2 linked regions of the Lonchura striata genome follow. The protein of the gene in region 2 interacts with the protein of the main gene of each other region in a pairwise test. Links are inferred from orthologs where the notes say so. Each region holds a gene or a part of one and is shown on either strand. Other genes may lie near its edges.

The links.
Region 1: the proteins of PDE6D (region 2) and RND1 interact in a two-hybrid assay, tested with the Homo sapiens proteins (2 studies listed by BioGRID). The link is inferred for Lonchura striata from reciprocal best matches to the Homo sapiens genes PDE6D and RND1.

Annotation. Positions count from the first base shown.
Region 1 is NC_134629.1:6,084,704-6,088,446, reverse strand, and holds the start of RND1 (rho-related GTP-binding protein Rho6), read right to left. Parts: upstream 2,860-3,743; 5' UTR 2,822-2,859; coding exon 2,702-2,821; intron 2,617-2,701; coding exon 2,529-2,616; intron 498-2,528; coding exon 388-497; intron 38-387; coding exon 1-37. UniProt on the Homo sapiens protein: Lacks intrinsic GTPase activity. Has a low affinity for GDP, and constitutively binds GTP. Controls rearrangements of the actin cytoskeleton. Induces the Rac-dependent neuritic process formation in part by disruption of the cortical actin filaments.
Region 2 is NC_134612.1:18,215,669-18,219,411, reverse strand, and holds the start of PDE6D (retinal rod rhodopsin-sensitive cGMP 3',5'-cyclic phosphodiesterase subunit delta), read left to right. Parts: upstream 1-1,074; 5' UTR 1,075-1,167; coding exon 1,168-1,217; intron 1,218-3,743. UniProt on the Homo sapiens protein: Promotes the release of prenylated target proteins from cellular membranes. Modulates the activity of prenylated or palmitoylated Ras family members by regulating their subcellular location.

The sequences.
Region 1 (3,743 bases), on a different chromosome or scaffold from region 2:
GCGTGTTGGGGCAATAATCCAAAATTTCCGTCTTCCACTGAGGGGTCGAGGCACACAGCTGCTCTCAGGGCAACCCCAAAAACCTCTCCCCACAGAGGCACCCCCCAGGACAGTGTCCTGACAGCCCTGAACCCCCAAACCCCACAGAGATCCCCCTGCATTGGTGTCCTCCCATCTCGGAGCCCCCCAAACCCCACGGGGACACCTCGGGGTGGTGTCCCCACATCTCTGAGCACCCAAAACCCCACAGAGATCCCCCTGCATTGATGTCCTCACATCTCTGAGCCCCCCAAACCCCACGGGGACACCTCAGGGTGGTGTCCCCACATCTCTGAGCCCCCCAAACCCCACGGGGACACTGTCCCGGGGCCTGAGCCCCCTCCCCACCTTCTTGGCCGCACTGTCGAGGGTCTCGGGGCGGCTGACGTCGAAGCAGAGCAGGACGGCGTCCGAGTCGCTGTAGCACAGGGGCCTCACGTTGTCATAGTAGGGAGAGCCTGGGGGAAAATTGGGGGGGTCACAGCTCAGCCCCCCCACCCCAGGGACATGGGAAAGGGGGTCTGGCTAAGGGACACGGCCCCTCAAATGGGACACAGCCCCCCAAAAGGGACAGAGGGACACACAGCTCTAGAGACCCCCAAAAGGGACAGAGACCCCGGTCCTGCCCGGGGTGAGGGCACGGCTCTAGAGACCCCCAAAAGGGACAGCTCCCCAAAAGGGACAGAGACCCCCAAAAGGGACAGAGACCCCCAAAAGGGACAGAGGGACACACAGCTCCAGAGCCCCCAAAAGGGACACAGCCCCTCAAGAGACACGAAGCCACCTCCTGCCTGAGGTGGCGTGCACCGCCTTGGAGCCCCTCCCCAAAAAAAGACAGAGCCCCCCAAAATAGACACAGCCTCACTCCTGCCCAGCATGAGGGTTCACAGTTTGGGAGAACCCCAAAAGGGACAGGGGAGCACAACTCTAGAGCCCCCCAAAACAGACACAGAATCTCAAAAGGGACAGGGGGGACACCGGTCTAGACTCCCTTAAAAAAGACAAATCCTATTCATGCCTGAAGTGTGTGCACCGAGCTCTAGAGCCCCCCAAAAGGCACAGAGCCCCCCCAAAACAAACACAGCACCCCAAAAGGGACAGAGGGACACACAGCTTTAGAGCCCCAAAAAACAAACACAGTGCCCCAAAAGGGACAGAGGGACACACAGCTCTAGAGCCCCCCAAAAGGCACAGACACCCCCAAAACAAACACAGCTCCCCTCCTGTTCAGGGTGGTGGCTCACAGCTCTAGAGAACCCCAAGAAGGACATAGGGACACACAGCTCCAGAGCCCCCCAAAAAGGACACAGCCCCCCAAAAGGGACAGAGGGACACACAGCTCTAGAGCCCCCCAAAACAGACACAGCCCCCCAAAAGGCACAGACGGACACACAGCTCTAGAGCCCCCCAAAAGGCAGAGACCCCCAAAACAAACACAGCAAGAGGGACGTAGGGACACAGCTCCAGAGCCCCCCAAAAGGGACACAGCCCCCCTGGGGCCGGGGAGAGGGGCACAGCTCTGGAACCCCCCCAAAACGCCACCTCCGTCCCCGCAGCCCATCAGCTGCATCGCGCCTTGGCGAGGCAGCGGGAAATGGAGCCCGCGGTGTTTATGTAACATCCCCCCCGCCCCCCGTTTTGGGGAGCCCCGGCAGCACCCAGGGGTGTCGGGGTTGGGGGGGAGAAGCCGGAGGAGGGGGTGGGACACGCTGCCACCCCCTCGGGGTCCTCGGGGACACGGAGCCACCAGCACCGCACCGGGGACCGCGGGGGTCGCGGCGCGGGGGAAAGGAGGGTGCGGGAAGGGGTCAGGGGGGTGGCGGGCTCCGGGATGTCCCTCCCGTCCGTCCCCCCCCGGCCCCCCAAAAGCCTCGGAGGGGTTTCGCAGCCCAGACGCTCCGTGCACAGAATAGCAAAGAGGCTGCGCCAGCGCATCGCCATGGCAACCGGGGACCGGCGGGGACCCCCCCCTACCGGGGGGGACACTGCAGCACCGGGCAGGGCTACCCCGACCCCCCCCGAAACTCTTCGGGGTGCCCCGGGAAGGGCAACACCGGGATACCCCATAATCCGCTCAATTCACACCATGGGGGGCTCAGCCTCCTGTGACCCCCCCAGGGTGTCTGGATCACCGTGGGGTCGGTCCCTGGGGAGAAGCTGCGCTCCCCACAGCCACGGATATGACCCCGGACCTGAACCCACCCCAGGGACCACAAAACACCCCCAAAACACCCCCGAGACCTCGCCACGGCCACCGGCGCCCCTCCCCGCCGCGCTGCAGGGCCCCGAGACACCCGAAACACCCTCGGGACACCAGAGCACCCCACCGCAGCGACCCCCCGCTCACTGCAGCATCCCGACCGTGACCCCCCCCCCAAAAAACCCCAAACCACCTTCCCCAGCAAACAACCGAGCCAGGGTCGGGCAGCCCCCGCCCCACTTCTCCGGTAGCCCCTCAAACGTGCACCGCGCGCGTCTGTCCCCGGTACCGGAGGTGTCCCAGAGGCTCAGTTCCACCCGCTGCTCCTCGCTGGCCAGGCACGCCGTGTAGTTCTCAAACACGGTGGGCACGTACGTCTGCAACGGGGCACCGAGAGCGTCAGCGCCCGGTTCCCGCTTGCCGGTGCCCGCTGCACGGTTCCCGGTGCCGCTGTGGGCTCACCTCGGGGTAACAATCCTTGGCCAGCACCTGCAGCATGGCCGTCTTGCCGCACTGCACGTCACCCACCAGCACCAGCTTGCACCGGGCCGGAGCGGCCGGCGCCGGCCTCCGCTCCCGCATGGCGGCGGCGGCGCGCGTGAACCCCCCCACTCGCACCCACCCACCGCCCTGCGCCCCGCCGCCGCAGCGCCCTTATATACCCCGCCGGCTGCAGGGCCCGCCCACGGCGGCGCCCGCTCGCCAATCAGCGCGGGGAATCCCGGAGCGCCGGCCAATAGCGGCGAGGCAGAGCTCGCGGGACACGCCCCGCAGGGGGTGCGGGCGCGCTCTTGGCCGGCAGGGGGCGCCGGTGCGGGGCGGGGCGGAAGTGCCGCGAGGCTCCGCCCGCCGCCGTTGCCGGGAGACCGGAGGGACGCGAGCGGCACCGGGACCGAGACCGGGACCGGGAGCCCAGAGCGGGGAGCGAGACCCCAGAGGCGGAGGTGGGGCTGGGCAAAGGGCAGTGGGCGCTGGGAGAGCGTGGGAGGGAGGGGGTGAGCTGGGAGGGCTCTGGAGATGGGCAGCGGGGAATGGGCCTTGGGGGAGGCCTGGGGAGGGAAGTGGAAACAGGGCTGGAAGGGGAGAGGGGATGAGCAGGGCTTGAGGGGGTCTGAGGGTACTCTAAGTGGAGGGGACAGGAAAGGGAGGGAGCCTGGGGAGGGAGACGGGGGTGGGCAGAAGGTTATGGGGTGTGGGGTACCCCATAGTGCGGGGGGCTGGAGGGGAGGGGGTCAGGCCTTGGTGGTGGGGGGGGGCTCTGGAGGGACCACCAGGCAGACCCCGGGCATCCCCCGACCCCTCCTGCCGTGTCCCCTTCTCCAGCCATGGCGGGGCTCCGTCCCGCTGCCCCCAGGGCGGCCGAGGACGAGCTGCTGCTCCTGCAGAGACAAGCGCTGGCTGAGGAGGAGGCGGCCAAAGCCAAGCGGGAACTGCTCACTCGCTTCCTGCAGGTCCGGGACCCTGCTCCAAACTCCACCCCTCTGAGCCCCCCAAACTGCTTTTC
Region 2 (3,743 bases):
CCCCCCACAATCAACTCTGCTACACAAACATAAAAGCCATGAAGACGATTAGAAGGCTAAAGCACCTCTTCTCCGAGGAAAGGCTGGAAGAATTTGCGTTATTCAGCCTGGAGAAGGTTCCAGGGTGACATTATTCAGGACTTTCTGTACCTGAAGGGGTCCTACAAGAAAGCTGGAGAGGGACTTTTTACAAGGCAATACAATTCTAGGGATAGAACAAGAGGAATGGCTTCAAAATGACAGAAGGCAGATTTAGATTAGATGTAAGGATGAAATTATTTCCTGTGAGGGTGCTGAGGCACTGACACAGGTTGCCTGGCAAAACTGTGGATGCCCCATCCCTGGATGTGTTCAAGGCCAGCCTGGATGGTCTTTAAAGTCCCTTTCAACTCAAGCTGATCTGTGATTCAAATTTCTGCAGCACAAAGAAGGCTGCCTTTGTTCCAGGGGGTAGCACTCTTTATCTTAAACCTTCTCCACAATGCTGGTCCCGTTGGCTCCGGCCTCGGGACACGCAGAATCACAGAGCTGTTGGGTTTGGGAAGGACCTCTGGCGACCATCCAGTCCAACTCCCTGCCAAGGCAGGGTCACTTGGAGCAGATGACACAGAACTCGTGCAGGTGGGTTTTGAAGGTCTCCAGCAGAAGCTGCTCCGGGTGGAGCTCCGCCGAGCAGCCCCAAAGACGAAACCTCGGGGAGCCGCTGCCTGGGGAGAAGCGCCAGCCAAGCTCCGGCGGCTCGGGGCCGTTCGGCCGCCGCTGGCTGGGCCCGGGGAGGCTTCTGGCCCCCTCGACTGCTCCCGCTGAGGCCTCCCGGGCGCGGGGACCGCCCGCAGCCCTGCCCGGTCACCCTGCGGCGCCGCCACCGCGGCCACGTCAGGCCCAACCACAGCGGCCCCGCGACCGCCGCGCACCCACCCTTGAATAGAAGAGCGCCGCCTGATTGGTCAGGAGCGCTGTCATTCCTGCGCCAGAAGGCGGGGCTAAGAGGGGACGGCAGCAGCTGATTGGTCGGCACGGCGGCGGGCGGCCGCTGGGGTTGGTTGCGCCGGGCAGTGGCGGGTGCGCGGGAGGGAGGGGCGGGGGGTCCCGAGGCTCCGCTGTCACCGCCGCGCTCCCGCCAGGCCCGGCCCAGCCCCGTCCGCCCGCCCGCGGCGCGGCAGGACCATGTCGGCCACGGACGAGCGGGCCAAGGAGATCCTCCGCGGCTTCAAGCTGTATCCTCCGTGCGCGGGGGCCGCGAGGCGCCGCGGGGGGCGCGGGGATCGCCGCCCCGCTGTGGCGAGGCCCCTGGGGCGGGAGGGAGGTTGCCATGGCAACGCGGTTCTCAATGGCGTCCGCGCTCCGGCGGTGACGGGAGGGTCCCTCGGGGCTGGGACCGGCCCTGGGCCGGCCGGGCCGGGGGGGCGGGGAAGGAGGCCTCGCGATGCCGGGGTCCCGTCCCTGCCTGCGGTGCCGCGGGTGAGGGGTCCCCGCGCCCAAAGTCCTGAGCCGGTGGGCGACCGCCGCCCCTCGGCCCCTGCCCGGCGCCGAGAGGGGCTGGGCGGCGGCGGCGGCCCCGGGCAGCCGGAGCCCCCCGCCCGCAGCGAGGACAGCTTACGGAGGGCAGGTGAAGTAGCTCTGCGCCTGGATCTGACCCCTTTCCCTCCGGCCTGCCCTTCAGCACCTCTGCTCGGAAGGGAGATACCTGGTCATCAGGTGCAGGAGCACCCAAGCACCTCGTTCCTTGTCATGCCGTGAGGTACTGGCACATGTGTTGGTCGTGCGGTGTCTTTTATTGCTGACGTATTCTGCGTGTAAATGCCTTTCTGTGCAGCTCGTTTAAAAACTTTTCATGTTGTGGCTTTCAAAAAGCGTTCTGATTTTATGCCTGTGGTACCTGGATGTGAATTTAAAGCTGATGAAATGAGATAGAGCTGAGCTTGGAACAGAGGCAAGTGCCTTTGTGCACCTTCCAACCCAGGATTTCAGCAAAGCAGAGAAAGGCTTGACCTAAAGGCCCATGTTCAAACTAAAGGTGTGAGAAATATTGTAGCTTTATTTTACATGTGGAATATTTTACTGAAGTAAATTCTTCTCAGCTTAGAAGGCAAATGCAAGATTGCTATCTTGATCTTTAGACATCAGAATATTGTTATAAGTTGGTTCTTTTTTTTTACAATAAAAAGGACAGAAGTGAAGGAAATATCCTCTTGATCGAAGCCTGTTATTTCTAAACAGGGTGGTGGGGTTTTTTGTTCTGTGAGATGTTCATAATCTCTATGCCAGCTGTAGCAGGATGTGATTTTTTAGGTTAGATTTAGACAGATAGCTTTTATTAAACTATAAGCCGATGCTTTTCTTAACTTTTTATCATTGCAGTCTCCTCCAGCTGTTAGTACTTCATCTGGTTCCTTTGCTTCTGCACTGGCACTATTGACAGTTCTTTGTATTTATGAAGATGTGGAATTTTAGCTGTCAAAAAATAAACTAAAAATCTTTTCTGCTGGCAATCAGAAGAATAAACTTCTCACAAGACCAGACTAAGCTGTTGGTAGAAGTGAGGAGTGCTTTGGAAGTTAAGCCTAGGGAGAAAACTTTTAAGTGCTTTTTGCATGTGTTTGTACATAGTATTTATTGGATAGCAGAATTTACATAAAGGCCTTTGCCCAACTCTGAATGAAATAATACTTTTTGTTGTTTGCCGTCTTAAAGAGAAAATGCATTTTGCTCTTTGAGAGGAAGGATGTCAGACAACAAATTATGATCTCAAGCAGCCATAGCATGGATAAGAAGTTTTATTAGAAGCACTCTGCAGTCTGTGTTGAAGCATCTCAAGTCTAGTCTTCCTTTGTTTGTCCTTGCAAAAAAAAAAATACTTCTGGCAGGACAGTTTAAGTTAAAATCTGGGGAGCTGCCACAGGGGCTGTGTAGTGCAAAGTCTGACAAACAGGAAAGTTTGGAGAAACATTTCATAACTGAAACTTTTAGCAAGTTGAAATAGTTGAGAAACATCTATGTTGCCTTTAGTAAGCCAGAAGAGAGGCTGAGCAGACATTCCTCATTTGTGGGGAAGCCTTGAGACACCACACCATCCCCACAGGAAACTGCTCATGCCCAGCTGTGGCCATGCTCCCTGCAAGGGAGACATCAGCTCAGACTTCCCTTCCCTTGTCCAAGGGCAGGCATCTGTTCCAGAGATAATTGCAGTTTAGAGATGCTTTATCTTCCAGCCACCCTATTGCTGCATGTACTCATTTAATTAATAGAAAGGAAGAGAGAAACGTGTTCTGAAAAACTGTTCAGTTTATACTTTGAGTATCTGAAAACTTTGTCCTCTGCTCCCACATGGGAAGGAGTTCAGCTTCACCAACTCAAGCAACTTTGGCACTTCAAACTGAAACTTGCTTTTGGCACAAGAGAGGAGCATGGCATTGCACCCAGGGGCAGTGTGTGAGGGATTCCTTGGGAGAGAAGAAGAGTTGCTAGGGCCAAAAGCATCACTGAGGAAGCAGGCTTCCAAAATAATCCCTAATTTTAACATGACAGCAGACACTTAAGCTGGAAGTCCAGTTCACATTGAGTAATCAGAGTTTCCTCAAACAATTCTGTTTCCTTGTGGTTCCTGAGAAGGGGTTAATTACAAGCTTTCCAACTCATTGGGGCACGCTGGATGATTGGGGTATGTGGAAATTAAATTATAGCCTAAATCCACCCTCTAATTTCAATGCAAAGATAGGTTTTCCTTCCTCTATGACACTAGT